2 linked regions of the Neurospora crassa OR74A genome follow. The protein of the gene in region 1 purifies or fractionates together with the protein of each later gene. This does not show direct contact. Links are inferred from orthologs where the notes say so. Each region holds a gene or a part of one and is shown in the gene's direction. Other genes may lie near its edges.

Region 1 (7,660 bases):
CCCAATTTGTAGCATTATCTGGGGTGGTTGGTGACTGTGCAAAAAGGCGGGGATACATCGTTCGATGAGCACCAAGGGAAGGAAGGGGCTTACAGGGGCTTACAGTGCGTGTAAAACCTGTGAATTTTTCCAGCACCAACGACAGCAGTTCTGGTGGCATCCTTGGTAGCCCCGGCCCTCCAAAGGTAAACAAACACTCATAAAGCGGGGAGGAACGATCAGTAGAAGAGACAAATGTAACTGCCCACACTACGTCGATTCTTTGTCGCTCTCACCTGAAAAACAGACATGCAGTGTTGATGATATGAGCATGAAATCTGCACTGATGAAACTCCCGTCGATTCCCGTCATCAAAGGCAGATAGATCCCTCTGTTCCTTCTGTTGGAACTGGGAATCCGGGCTGTCAATCAGTCACGAGCTACAAGGGTCAATACATCGCGACATGGGGGTCCACCTGCTCCCATCCTGCACCACGTATGTCACGGCCGGATCAAAGTTGACCGGATCGTTGCGGTACCTGGCACCTATCGCTTTGCGCACCTTCTCCTTGATGTCCTGCCACCAGTTGACTTCTGACTCCACCTCCACCGTTATTGCAAACTTGCCCTTTCTGTCCCGCTTCTGCCGCCGCATGAGTATGGCCGTCCGCACAACAGGCGGCACCCCCGTCTTAGCCTTTGGGGTTCCTTTTCAAACAAGGGAAATTGGACCGCGTTCGGCGGGCCGTGCGCTCATTCGGTCGCAGTGCTATATCGCAGTGAGATAGGTATTTGCGGTGGACTTCGTTGGGAGTTGCGTTGAAGAAATCGAAGCTAGGTAGTCTGTTCGTTGTTGGCAGCGACGAGTGCAAGGGAGAGAAAGTGTCCTCCGCCTGAAGCGAAATGGGATAATGGCAAGAGATTTGTGATGCTACAGAAGCCTCTAATGGGTATTCTCTAATACCTTTCTGCGTCTTCTTCAGGCCTTCAGCACTAGAAGATACCTCTAGGCTTTTACGTGGTTAGACAAGGCGGGAGCGTGACAGTCCACCAGAGAGGATCTGTTGGGCACGGTGGAGTTTGTCGCAACAACCAATGAATGCTACAATTGTCCAGATCGCGTGCAGTTGGATGGGCAAGAAAACGTGGTATACCAAGGGCCCATTCGTGCAGAACCCATCAAAGCGGTTAAGACGGCGACCGGACAACTGATCTACAAGATGGATGCACACACAACCTTATTCACGCACGAGTTCAAGACCCTTCTGATGAGCAGCAACGTCGACCGTCTGGCACACGCCCTCAGCAAGCTCAACCGCCCGACCGAGACCGAGACCGAGATCGACAGCGAGTCACGCATTCGTTCACCAAACACAACGGACACCTCCTCCCCCCCTGGGTGGGATCGCCAATGCAACCACTCGTGGTGCTCAAGTCAGGGTTCGGTAGAGGTGAAGAGGGTGGTTGATTTGAAAAGGAAGAGGAAAACTAGTAAGCCCAAGGCCCGGAAAGCCAACTAAATACCCCGCCAATACCTAAGACACCATTGCACCTTCCACTTTGCAACTAAAATACCCAATAGAAAGCCAAAGTCCTATCTGCATCCAGTGAAGCCCGCTTTGGCTTTCCTGTAACATACAAACGAACAAACCAGGGCTGAGTAGTATATTTCTAGAAGGACGAGTGCGTCGGGCAGGCAAGCAGGACTTTACAGACTGTCTCAATCGTTGAGAAGGGCGAGCGAGAAAATTTGGCTGGATTCAGTTGGTAATAATCTCCCAGTTTGGATGCGGAATGGGTACTTTTCATAATAGTTTGGGGAATCTTCTTAACGTTGAAAGATGCACATTTCTTGGTGACATCGACATGTGCCATGAAAGAGACGCCACTTTCTAAGCTGTGATCACGAAACTTGGGACACCAAAATGATGGCCAGTTGTGGCTGTGATGATAACTGGGAGAGTTCACCCTCATAACTCAAAGAAAGGAGGTGGTTTCTCAAAGCGAAAAGAAAGAAAAGAATTAGGCCTGGACAAATGGTGTCCTGCTGTCGGGCACACTAGGGTAGCCATTGGAGACTGGAAACACGAAGATCGAAACAAGGGGAGGATGTGGGAAAAGAACAGAGAAGGAAAGAGAAAAGAAAAAGGCATCAAGCATTGCGGGCAATGTCATCACGTAAGCTGGCCGATGTCCGGGGCTGCCATTGAGGGCTAGTAAGTCAATGACTGTACTATTGAACTAAGGACGCGACCACTTAAGACGAACCTCACCAAGGTAGCAATTGGAGCTACCCCACTTTTCAGCTGTGATTCATCGAACCATGACTCCTCCAACTCTCATCAAGGTATAAAACCTCGACACCGCAACAAAAGATCCAAAAATCGATATTGCTATCAAAGATACGAGCCATCAGTCCCACCTCACTCACTCTCTCACCATCTCATCCGGAGACAGCGGCACCTCCCGCACCAAAACATCCAAGATGGCCCAGCCCATCACCCTCACCTACCTAACCGTCGACGTCTTCACCTCCACCCGCTACCTAGGCAACCCCCTAGCCGTAGTCCTCACCCCCGCCTCTTTTCGTTCTCATCTCACCCAAGACGTCAAACAGCTCATCGCCCGCGAATTCAACTTCTCCGAGACCGTCTTTCTGCACACGCTCGACGACGAAGCGCGCGATGGCTTGACTTCCACCAGTCGGGAAATCGACATCTTCACCATCGAGGAAGAACTTCCCTTTGCCGGACATCCCACTGTCGGAACGGCGTACCTCGTGCTAAACCATTTGGGGTGGAAGCATGTGGACACGCTTGTTACCAAGGCCGGACCGATTACGATCAGACCGACGTCCGAAGGAAGGGTGAAGGCTACGATTCCGCATGCTGTGCGTATTCATAAGCAGACGTTGGGCGGGATTCTGGATGGAAAGGGAGGGGAGGTGAAGAAGGAGACAAGGGAGATGATTGAGGCTGCGCTGTCCGAGGACCCAGAGATAAGACAAGCGGAGTTAAATGGCCCGGTAGTTAGTATCGTGCGGGGAATGACGTTTTTGTTGGTAAAACTGCCGAGTTTGGAACATTTGGCGAAGGTGTCGACGGCGAAAAGGCTGGATTTTAGTAAGGTGGAGGGGTTGTTGGATAAGGGGGAGTGGGAGCGCGGGTTTGTGTCCAGGTATTATTATGTGCCGATGGAGAGGGAGAAAGAGAGTGAAAATGGGAGGAAGGAGTTCAAGTTTAGGACGAGGATGGTGGAGTTGGGATTTGAAGATCCGGCGACGGGTAGTGCGGCGTGTACGCTGGCGAGCTATTTGACGGTTAGTGGGAGGGAGATGGGAGGGGCGAGGTTTGAGTTGACGCAGGGCGTGGAGATGGGGAGGCAGAGTGAGATTGAGGTGGAGACGACGGCGGTGGAGGGGGAGAATGGGGAGGCGAAGGTGAAGGATTTGTATCTGGGAGGGACGGCGGTGGTGGTTACGAAGGGAAGTATCTATGTGTAGTGGATTTGCTATTGAGTTGAATGTGATGCTGTCTACATTGTAGATGTTGTGAGAAGTGGCATGGTGTTGAGTCGAAAATGACGAGTAAAAGATACATTGCCAAAGTACCTCCCAAACGTCCATAGTCATTTATGCAACATGATTGGTCACTTACCGTAGTATGCGGCTCGGTGTGGCTCAAGCTTGGCAGATGGTTCTCTGCCTGCCGCCAAACCTCCAAGTACCTCTAGCGTCGTCCAGCTCCAGGCCGTCGCCTGCCTGCTGTCTGTGCTAGCTGGCTGGCCGTGGCGCGTTGCAACAAAAAAGTTGGAGGACGACATTGACATCGCGACTTGAACCAAACAACCCATTTTACAGATTTTGCATTGCAGTCATATTATCAAGATGCTTTGCGCCCGTATGTCACAGCTCTAATCTACCGTTGCGCGACGCTGTGCTAACCGATTGACGCAGTATCCGGAGAGGTTCCCGAGGAGCCTGTTGTCTCGAGAAAGACCGGTACGCGCACTCTTCGTCATTGTTGTCACCATCACCGAGATCCCACCATTCCCACCGCTTCTGTTCCCACCAAGCCACACCAGATGCTTCCACGACAGGCCGAAATGCGATGCCATACTAACACATCCCAGGCGCCGTCTTCGAGAAGCGATTGATCGAAAAGTACATCCAAGAGAACCACAAAGAACCCGGCACCGATGAAGAGCTAGACGTCGAAGACCTCCTCCCCATCAAGACAAATCGGATCGTCCGCCCCCGCCCCCCGCAATTCACATCCCTCCCATCCATGCTCAAGGCCTTCCAAGACGAGTGGGACGCCCTGGTACTAGAGTCATACAACACGAGGCAACAACTGGCGAGGACAAGGGAGGAATTGGCCACGGCGCTCTACCAGAACGATGCCGCCGTTCGCGTGATTGCTCGCTTGACCAAGGAGCGTGATGAGGCCCGCGAGGCCCTTTCCAGACTCACAGTTACGGCTTCTGCTGGCGGTGCCGCAACTGGTGACGCTATGGCGGTAGACAGCGAGGGTCTGCCCGAGGCGTTGGCTGCACATGTTGATGAGGTTCAGGCCGAGTACGTTTACCGCGCTCCGTCATCTCGAAAAGTTGAATGCTGACAATTCACCGATCTACAGAAAGCAAAAGGGCCGCAAGAAGCGACCAGTCCCCGAAGGCTGGGCCACCACAGAAGACATTTCCGCTCTGCAACAAACCGCCTACACAGATCTCCCCGTCACACAAGCGACCTCGCTCGCTCTCAACGGTGGTTATGCGGCGGTTGGTGGATTGGACGGCAAGGTGGATCTCTACTCGGTTGAGGCCAAGGCACACGAACGCTCTTTGGAGGTTGGCGAGCCGGTGACTGCTACGGTGTGGATCGGCAACAAGGTCGTCTCGGCCACTTCGAAGGGCAGTGTCAAGGCTGTTGAGGGCGGTGTCGAGACTGGTTCTGTTACGGAGCACGCCGGTGCCGTGACGGGCTTGGCGGTGCACCCTGGCGAGCAGATTCTTGCTTCTGTGGGCGTGGATAAGGGCATCATCTTTTACGATTTGCAGTCGCTGCAGCGTGTAGCGCGTGTCTATACTGACGCTGGTATGTACCCTTTCACCACCCGCCTCACAGTCTCAAGTTACTAATATGAACAAACAGAACTCACATCCTGCGCCTTCCACCCCGACGGCCACCTCTTCGCCGCCGGCACGCAATCCGGCCAGATCGAGATCTTCGACACCAAGACTCTCCAGCGCATGGCCAACTTCACCCTCGGCGCCCCCGTCAAGACCCTCGTCTTCTCCGAAAACGGCTTCTGGTTCGCCGCTACGGGCGTCGGCCAGTCCTCTGTCACCATCTTCGACCTGCGCAAGGAAGGCGACGCCGCGCGGGCCAAGGAGCTCCAAACCGGTGACGTCTCCGGCCTTGCCTGGGATTACACGGGTCAGTACCTCGCCACTGCCGGATCGCAGGGCGTTACGGTGCAGCAGTATGTCAAGGCTAGCAAGTCGTGGACGGAGCCGTTGAGGACAAGCACGCCGGCTGTGGCGGTGCAGTGGGGAGACAAGGCGAGGCAGTTGGTGGCTGTCAGCAAAGAGGGCGTAGTTTCGGTGTTGGAGCCGAAGAGCGAGTAGGATCGCATTGGAAAATACGAAAAGTCGGACTCGGAGACGGTCTAGGTGGGGTTGGCTTTGGAAGACCAAAGAAGATTAAAGTGATGGGCTAGAGGAGCGAAAGGGGAGATCGGGGTTTATTGGTAGGCGTTAGCTCCTGATGAGAGGGCTCAATACCGGTCTGCCCAGTATGACGCAAAACATAAAGAGCTTATAAAGTAATTCATTGGTTTATCTGGACTCGAGCGTGAAAAAGATATTTGATGAACAGGTCTAGTGTAGACTTGAGCGGCGGGAGCATGTTGTTTTAAAGAGCATATCTGTCTTGAAGTCTTCACTTCTGATGATACCGAAGCAAAACGGGGAAATTCTGCGGTGATACTGTTGTATGGCTTCACCTCCGTATTTCGTGATCTCAACTTTGGCAGTGCCTGCGTTCCAACAGCTTCCATATCACGGTCCATCATCAGACCCTGAAAGAGCTCACGACGAGAACAGGGGATAGTGCAACCTGATAGGCTGACAGCTGTTTGTTCCTGAATGCCCGAATCGGGATGCAGGTAAGGTAGTGTACAATTGGACCCCTATGTCTGACTGTTAAGGATGCAGCGTTGTAACAGGCTCTTCTTGCCCGCAGTACTGCTAAGGTACTAACAGAGGCACATTAAGCATGGTCAACGTCAAGTCACCATAGGAACTTGTGAAAGACACCAACCGAGGTGTTGATGAATGACCTTGTGCTTCAGTTTTAGAAAACAAGCACAACGAACGACTTCCCCCGTGCCGGTTACCTAGGTACCGTAGAAACTCGGTTAGTTTGTAAAAAGAAAAGGCCTTCCCCCTTTGAGCGCCCGACAGCCGTGCAAGCACAGGAAGCCGCATACCTCTACTTCTGTACACATATGTCTGCTTAGTTAGTGAAGGCTCTACCGTACTGCCCAACACTAAGGTACCTACCTATCTTGCCTACACGGCATTCCGAAGCACAGGCTCAGACTCGAGTGTTACAGATCTGCCAGCACCCTGCCTGTTATCCAGGGGCAGGTTTTCCAGGCATTAGATAGCTTTTTGTCAACTTCCCTCAACCATTCTTATGAGAAGTTTGGCAGGAAGTCTTGGTGGTAACTTTTTTTTTTCTTTCTTTTTCCCTCCAGTGTCTCAAAATATCAAAGCCTCAGTTCCTTCCTTTGTTGACCGAGTCTCTTCGTCTATCACGGTGATGGTTGGCTCTCATCTTTTAATTTCTATCCGCTCACCCAAAAAAAAAAAAAAAAAAAAAAAAAAAACCGCTTGAAACCACAACACGCTATTCGCTCATTTGCTGACCAAGCTGACCAAGCTGCGTTTGCCACCACCCCTCGAGGCTGCAGACATTCAGCTAGCTCTCCTTCAACCCTGACCTTGTTGTGCCTGATCACCGTCCAGCATACCTAGGGACGAATTGGGCGTTGAGATCTGTTCCCAAACCAGATTCACTTCAATACGTGCACTTGTTGAATCAGCTGGGCGGTTCGGCTTCATCCCGGTCGTTCATCACCAGCGGCAAGGGGGACCACACTGGTGTTGGCCCGGAAGCTCGAGCGAGGTCAGTCTGTGCAGTGCTGCTCTCCACAGTCTTCCAATCGAGTTGGGGAAATGCGCGGAGGCGACTATCAGTGAACAAGCAATTTCACCCACCGAACACCGACACTGGCACCGCGACTTTGCAGTGGAATCAACCTCCTTCCGCCCCCCTCCATTTCCCTCCCGTCATTATGGACGCGGCGGACGACTGGTTTGATGACGAGGGCGGATTTTTGTACCAGGTCGAGCAATTAGTCGCTGAGGGCGAAGGGCAATTCGAGGACCATTACGAAGACCATCTGGCCATCGACAACGACAGCAGTGACATTGACATTGACCTGAGTCTCGACAACAGCGAAGACGATCACGGCGAAGTTTCTGAATTGGACTGGGATTACAACTTGGACGACAACAACAACAACAACATTGATCTAGACCTTGACGACGAAGAAGGAGCAGAAGAAGAGGAGGAGAATCACTACAACGTTGGCGGCGGTTCGCTGTCGCCCCG
Region 2 (7,550 bases), on another chromosome or scaffold:
AGAGAACAGCATGGCAAGCACACGTTAAATTCAAATCGCTAAGCGAAGATCCCTCCTGGATTATGGACATGATGTATACACGATAATGAAGGTTATGCAGAAAGAGAGAGGGAGAGAAAGAGCCGAAACAGTCAAACCCCCCAATGCTGCCTCCAAGAACAATCAGTATGTCTTCTTGCTACTCCTCCATTGCTGGTCTGCCCAAGTGTCTCGTGCGTGGTGAACACACCATCATCCTCGAGTGCCTTTCCTGGTGTGTGAAGGAGGCGGAGATAGTCGGCCTGCCTGCCTTTATGAAGTACTTGCGTTGACAACTTGACGGTTCTAGCGTGGGGGCCAATGAGCAGCTTGCGTTGTGGGATGAAGGATGTGGTGTGTATACCTACTATTACATTCTCTGGTAAAGAGAATCACACTTGCGGAGGTTTCCTTGCGGTTGAAGAAGTGAGGGAAGGACCGCTGGGCCCGTGGCGAGCGAGGTATCCGCAATGGGACGTGGTCCTCTTTGAATGGATTCCGCTACGCTGTCGAGAATGGAATGATAGAATATTATCGATGGGAAACCTTTTGATTTCGGTTGCGAGAATCCGACGATACACCCAGTCGGACTAAGATGTCATTTTACTGCTTATGTGTGTTTGTTGATCCGTCCAGGAATCTCACGAATACCGTTCTCGATGCTCGTTTATGCCCATCGGCCGTCACAAGACCGGCTGACACTCATCCCCAAGTAGTAGAGATTGCAACACCTTTTGGCAATTAACCAGTTCTCTACTATTTCTACCACTTGGGTATTTCTTTCAAAACTCCATCCGAGGCACACCTAACCATATGTAGCCTACCAGCCCTTGATGCATAGCCCTCACCACTCGCTGAAGATTGTAATCAGATATGCAAAAACAAATACAAAGCAAAAACAATTTTGCGAAGCCTCGACATAGTGAAACAGAACCGTGTTACGCTTCTGTCCCCAACCCAACTGAAAGCATTTCCAACCGGAACTGCAAACCTCTCTCGCCTCCATATCCATGAGTGACTGACTCCAGGTACGTCTCGTCTACTTGACAGCACGTGAACACCGCCATCGAAGTCCGTCCCACATGAGTCTGTCCCGGGATACCTAATCGTCCTGGACAAGCTCCTTGATTTCGTCCCGCCCACCAGGCAACAATTGCGCTCCGCCCCCACCCGTCGCCAGCAACTTCTCGGCGTCCTTCGCCGTGAGGTTGAAACGGTCAATCACCTTGCCACCGTCCTGGGCCCAGAAGCCAACTTCATCGATAATGTCGTAGACGATATCTTCGACTATTTGCTCCTCGTAGCGACCCGACACCGGCCGCAGGGGTTCTTGATTCGGCACACTTCCGTCGTCAAGCATGTCCACGTCGTCCTCATCGCCTACCCCGTTCTGCTGCTTCTGGGGAAGACCAGACCCAGGTGGTGGGAACCAGAAGTCTGGGCCAAAGTTCACCTCGACGGCGCCACCGCGGAAAACACTTACGGCTGGGTAGTATCCGACAGTTCCGTCGTCGAGAGCTTCTCTGCCGGCATGTGCCCCTGACTGAGTACTTTGTTTTGATGCGGGTGGTAGGAAGGCGAAGAGGTCAGTCCAAGGCGTGCCCATGTCCTTTCCATTTTTGTAAATCTTGATGTACGAGTTCGGCAGCGTCCGTAGCGACGGCAATGGGTGATTTGGGTTCGGCGGTTCCGGCGAGTTTGAGCTTGCCGATGCTACCGGCGCGGGACTGAACAAGTCTTCCAGCTCCTTGGTTGTGTGGTAGTCAATCTTCTCAAAGTAAATGTGTTGTTTGAACCGAATGGGGATCCGGTCCCGGATGATGTTGGGTGCCTCGAGCGATGGTTCGTCGTCTGCCAAGTCGACCGCAGGGTTATAATGCCCCGTTACAATCTTCCTGTGTAAATGTTCCGAAGGCAGCTGGATCTCCAGCCCGATCACATCTCCTTCTTTGATCTCCTCGCCAGGCGGGAAGAAGTCTTTCGGCCGTGACATGTGCACCTTTTGTCCAGCCACGTCTCGAATACCATAACTGTAGCAATCGAACCCGACGGGGGCGTCGAGAGAAGCCTCACGCCGCGCCCAGCCCACGCGAACGTGCCCATGCGCCTTGGTATCACCTTCGGAACCTGGCTCGCGCAGGGTGCCTCGAGTGACCTTGCACTCCCAATACCACCTGCCCTCTCGCACGGCCACGTTGGCTCGTGACATACGGAAGCCCTTGTCGGTGGTGACATGACGACCCTGTCGGTCAAAGTATACGTGGGAGGCAGAGTCCTCGAAGGCCATGTGGGCAGCGTACGGCTCGGTCTCGGTCTGGCGATAGTAGAACATGGAAGGAAACGTTGGGTCGGCTATACAGTGAGTGTAATGGAACGCTCGCTTGTTGAAGACACTGTAGGAAAAAGGCAAATCAGAATATGCTCCGCATGAATGGAGAATGGCGAAGGAGCAAATATAGATAAGACATACTGTTCGGTTGCATCAAAGAATTCGATGGTCTCGCCCTCGGGCCCTTGAACCTCATGATGGCTGGTGAAGACGGGACCGCGCGCGGGCTCGAAATCAGTAAGTTTGGGCGGAGCGAGCTTATAGCGCGCGGGGAGCAATTCGTTGATCAAGGGCTCTTTGTGTTGCTGCTTCGGGTCTGGAGTTGCTCTAGAACTATCGGAACCGCCTGCTGCTGCCTTGGCCTCCCTCTTCTTGAAGGAGTCCTTCTTTGTTCTCTTTTCGCGGTTTAGAACGGCTGCTTGCTGGGTGTCTTCGGGTGCCTGTATTTGGACTCTTGGAGCGGCCTTGTTATCTGGGTTTAGGGGTGATGGAACTGCTGGACTGTGGTCGTCTTCGAGCGTGCGCTTCTGAGGGATCGTCGTGGCAGCTCCGGAAGGTGTTTGCTCCCTTCGGGGAGAGCCTACGTCGCTGGCCATATGTAGCTCGGCAGACGTCGTGCTAGCAGTAACGTTGACAAATATTTAACTAAGTGATTAGTTTTGCTTTCGCAAGCTGTCCTTGTCCTGAAGTCGACTTGTGTTTGGACTCGAACGGCGAGCACTCCAAGTCCAAAGTAGGTACCGACGGGAGCTCTTCTGATCGACGACAGCTTATGGATGCTAAGAATAATCTGAGAATTGCCCGATGGTGATCCTACGGGTAAATGCTTTGGTACTCGGAGAAGACGCGTACTTTTGGAGAGCGCAATTGGGTTAAAGAGTCCAGTTTCGGAGCGATTTGATGTTCTTTCTGGGGATTTCTGTAAAGAGTTGAGAAATGTAAGAGGAAAGAAAGACATGTGAACCAGAAATGGTGGATGGAAGCTTCATCCACTCGACCAACAGCAGCAGCGTGTCGCGACAAAAGGGCGGGGCATCCTTCTGTTAGTGGTTAACGGCAGGCAGGGGTCCCGGAGCTTGGCTCGCTTGTTAGTTACCACATGCATGGGACACAAAAATGCTAACAGCGCGGGAACCTGTTGCCTGCCGCAAAAAGGTCTTGAGGTTGGCTAGCGCTTGACAGTTGATACTGGGAAAGACGCCAAGGCAGTTGCGTCGCGGGTGATTCCATTGTTCGCCTTGACGCCAGCGCTTTGAATTTCTGGATTTCTTCCCCATCAACACAACAACATTTCAACACTTTCAATTCCAATTCCAAGACAACCCCAACCCCGAGTGTCCTCCCACCTACCGGAACGACTCCCGCATCACTACAACGCCCGACGAGTATCCATAACGGCCGAGCGACAAGATGCCCGTCGTCAAGGGAGGTGTGTGGACCAACATCGAGGATGAAATCCTCAAGGCGTCGGTCAGCAAGTACGGCCTGAACCAGTGGGCCCGCGTCTCGTCGCTGCTGGCCCGCAAGACGCCCAAGCAGTGCAAGGCAAGATGGAACGAATGGCTGGATCCCAGCATCAAGAAGATCGAATGGAGCAAGGAGGAGGATGAGAAGCTGCTGCACCTCGCCAAGCTGATGCCGACCCAATGGCGTACCATTGCCCCCATCGTTGGAAGAACCGCAAACCAGTGCCTGGAAAGATACCAAAGACTTCTCGACGAAGCTGAGCAGAGGGAGGCGTCCGCTCTTGGGCTGACGGGCCCTGATGGAGGCGAAGCTCACGCGCCCAGCGCCGACGATGTTCGCAAACTACGTCCTGGCGAGGTCGACCCCGATCCGGAGACGAAACCCGCCCGTCCCGACACCATCGATCTCGATGAAGATGAGAAAGAAATGTTGAGCGAGGCTCGCGCGCGTCTGGCCAACACACAGGGTAAAAAGGCCAAGCGAAAGGCCCGTGAGCGACAGCAGGAGGAGTCACGCCGACTGGCCGCTCTCCAGAAGCGTCGCGAGTTGAAGACAGCCGGTATCAACATCAAGGTTACGACAAAGAAGCAGGGCCAGATGGACTACAATGCCGATATTCCATTCGAAAAGAAGCCTGTTCCCGGATTCTATGACACCACCGAGGAGATGTCTCGCAACGAGTACCAGCGCGCCCATTTCGACCCCAAGAAGCAGCAGGTTGGGAACAAGCGCAAGGGTGAAGAGGACGAGAGAGACGGCAAGAGGAGAAAGGGCGACAAGGACCCATCTGTGCAAGCCGCCCTCAAGGCCGGTCAACTGCAGAAGATGCGCGAGGCAGAACAGAGCAGCAAGCGGAGGGCTTTGGTCCTGCCAGCACCTCAGGTCGGCGAAGGCGAGTTGGAGGAAATTGTGAAGATGGGCATGATTGGCGAACGGGCAAATATGCTGGCTCGCGAAAGCGACAACGACGCAACTCGTGGCCTGATCAACAACTACTCGACACTCAACACCAATGCGCCAATCCGAACACCGATGGCCCCCGCTCAGGAAGACCACATCGCAAACGAGATCCGCAACATCCGAGCACTAACAGAGACGCAATCCTCGCTGCTCGGTGGAGAGAACACACCTCTACACCAGGGGGTGGGCTCTACCGGCTTCGAGTCGGTTGCGCCGCGGAAGCAGGTCATGTCAACCCCTAACCCCTTAGCCACCCCTTTGCGGGCAGCTGGAGCTGGTCCTGGCGCCACGCCCCTCCGCGTCGGCCAAACACCACTGCGCACTCCCCGTGATACATTTGCTCTCAATGATGCCGGTGACGAAATGTCCATGGTGGGCGGCACACCCCGAGATGTTAAGATGCGCGAGATGTCTATTCGGCACCAGCTCAAGCAAGGCCTCGCGTCTCTTCCCAAGCCCAAAGAGACCGAGTGGGAGCTCGAGCTGCCGGACGATCAGCAAGAGCCCAAGACCGCTGAGCAGCTGGAGGAGGATGCTGCTGAACGTGATCGACGAGAAAGGGAGATCAGGGAGGCGCGAGAGCTGTTGGAGCGCAAGAGACGTACCCAGGTCATGCAGCGGGATCTGCCTCGGCCTGTCCAAGTCGATTATCAGTCACTCTTGAAGGAAGCCTCGCAGGCCGAGGACCCTGTCAAGGTTCTCATCGCTCGTGAAGCGGCCTTGCTCGTAGCTCATGATGCCACCAAGTATCCTCTACCGGGAGCTCAGCCAACTGGCCGGGCACTGGAGATCCAGAAAATCGACGACGCCGCGTTGCAAGAGGCCAAGCTTCAGGTTCTGATGGAAATCAAGGATAAACCAAAGCCGGAAGAAGTTCAAGCGGTGTGGGAAAAGAGCAACAGCAGCTCCCTTTTGCTTGGGCTGGGATGCTATGAGGACGATGAAGAAGAAGAGCAGATTTCCACTATGCAAATTGCGCTTGAGGTATGTACAACTAACCCCTTTTCTGCCTCCTGCCTTCCGAAGGCTTACTGGCTAACCTAACCTGCAGGAGGTCATTGACCAAATCGTCGCCTCGGCAGAGAAGGGCAACAAGCTCGAGAAGAAGCTCAACCTGCATCTTGGCGGTTACAAGAATCGGGCTGAAATGCTGCGGAAGAAGATCAGTGAGGCTCACGAGGCGTTGGAGAAGGCGAACAACGCTCTGGGCGCTTTCAAGGTCCTCCAGTCCTCGGAGCAGGCCGCTATTCGGAACCGGCTGGCGGCGCTGCGTGAGGAGGTGGGCTTTGTGAGCACGAGGGAGAGAGAGGCGCAGGAGTTATACAGGAGGACGAGGGAAGAGCTGGATGCTTTGACGCTCAACGGGCCGAAGGCCAATGGGTTCCGCTGAATGATGTGTTGGAAGAGTGTGGTCAGGTTGTGAATAATTGAGTGTTGGTTAAACTCTGGCATGGCATGGTATGTCTGGCAACTGTCTGTGGAATGGCCACTGACGTCGAGCAGCTCAAAATAAGAAGCATTGAACATTATTATGTACTTGGAGGACGTCTCTCGATGCACCGTGTGAATATGTATAGTACGATGACCAACCTCCCTCTCAATATCAGTGAATTCTTCTCCTACGAGATTCTCACAACCCAGGGGCTTGGTAAGCGGGAGCCAAGGTGAACGCCAAATGCGAGTCATATCATATACACTGCAAAAAGCTTACCGGGGAGCGACGAAGCTTGTCTTCACTGGCAATCAGTCTGTACCGAGCTGTTCATTCAATCTCTCCTATCTCTCTCTCTGCTCTGTGTCTTTTTCTTCCCTCCCTCTTCTGGGAATGCATCCCTCCCTCTCCCTCTCTCTACCCTACACAAAACCAGACCAAAACAAAACAAAACAAAACAAAACAAAGACGCTCGCAGTAAATTTCCCCCAAAGCTAAGCCAAAATATGAAAAAAATTTTGCCATCCATCCCTCCAACGCCTTGCCTATATCTATCCCCTCTCTATCCTCTATTCTATCCTCTATCCCGTCCGCCCGTCTACCCTCATGAGCTTCGTTTTGCCAATCGGTCGTCGTCATCCTCTTCACTCTTCACTCTTCCTGAGTCCCCTCACTTGACGCAGGCGGAGGAGGTCTCATCGTAACCACCACCACCAGCAAAACACTAGCCACCACCATCCCAGCCAAAAAACAAGCAAAAATCAAGCGGCGTAAGAAAAGGCTGCGCGAGCGATGATGATGATGATGATGGGGTGAAGAAGTGGTCCGAGATGATGGGTGGTGGTGACCTGCGTCTGCTGAGGAATAAACCAACACGTCGTCGGCTGCTATAAGGGGAGTAGTCTCATCAGGCTTGGGCATGATGAACTGGTGCTGGGAGAAGAGATCCACGGCAGCGGCGGAGGTGGCGGCGGCGACGGCGTCTTGATCTTGTTCATGTTGCCGTTGTGGTTGTCCTTCATGCCGGCTACCACTAATGGTTGACGCATCATCGTCCTCGTCATCCTCCTCGTCATCGCTATCATCGGTTGACGTGGTATAAGACCCCGTAGTTGTAGATTCTTTCCGTCTTCGCCATGGTTGGGGAAGCGAGACGCTGTTCCGGACACCCTGAAACCGTGCAATCTGGCTGTAGTAGGATGAGTCAGGCGCTATGGACGAAGATGGGCCGAAAGATGGAAAGGGGCGGGTGTCGAGTGCTCCTGAGCGGACTGATGAGGCTTCGGCGTCGTCGTCTGTGAGCCATGAGGATGATGGTGGAGCTGGTGGTGCTGCTGCTGTAGG

What was found.
Region 2: the proteins of NCU11357 (region 1) and NCU06994 purify together in Schizosaccharomyces pombe (affinity purification with mass spectrometry; 6 studies listed by BioGRID, with this or other methods). This does not show direct contact. The link is inferred for Neurospora crassa OR74A from reciprocal best matches to the Schizosaccharomyces pombe genes prp19 and cdc5.

Annotation. Positions count from the first base shown.
Region 1 is NC_026503.1:538,114-545,773, forward strand, and holds NCU11357 (cell cycle control protein), read left to right. Parts: upstream 1-3,737; 5' UTR 3,738-3,865; coding exon 3,866-3,878; intron 3,879-3,934; coding exon 3,935-3,979; intron 3,980-4,110; coding exon 4,111-4,555; intron 4,556-4,616; coding exon 4,617-5,074; intron 5,075-5,131; coding exon 5,132-5,607; 3' UTR 5,608-5,897; downstream 5,898-7,660. Other genes in the region: NCU16616 (hypothetical protein), read left to right, coding at 1,200-1,499; NCU11356 (phenazine biosynthesis PhzC/PhzF protein), read left to right, coding at 2,465-3,481; NCU05697 (hypothetical protein), read left to right, coding at 7,341-7,660. UniProt on the Schizosaccharomyces pombe protein: Probable ubiquitin-protein ligase involved in pre-mRNA splicing. May also function in DNA repair.
Region 2 is NC_026504.1:4,813,252-4,820,801, forward strand, and holds NCU06994 (pre-mRNA-splicing factor cef-1), read left to right. Parts: upstream 1-3,594; 5' UTR 3,595-3,757; coding exon 3,758-5,758; intron 5,759-5,825; coding exon 5,826-6,164; 3' UTR 6,165-6,416; downstream 6,417-7,550. Other genes in the region: NCU06993 (Ash2-trithorax family protein), read right to left, coding at 1,121-2,411, 2,489-2,943; NCU06995 (hypothetical protein), read right to left, coding at 6,877-6,930, 7,077-7,550. UniProt on the Schizosaccharomyces pombe protein: Involved in mRNA splicing and cell cycle control.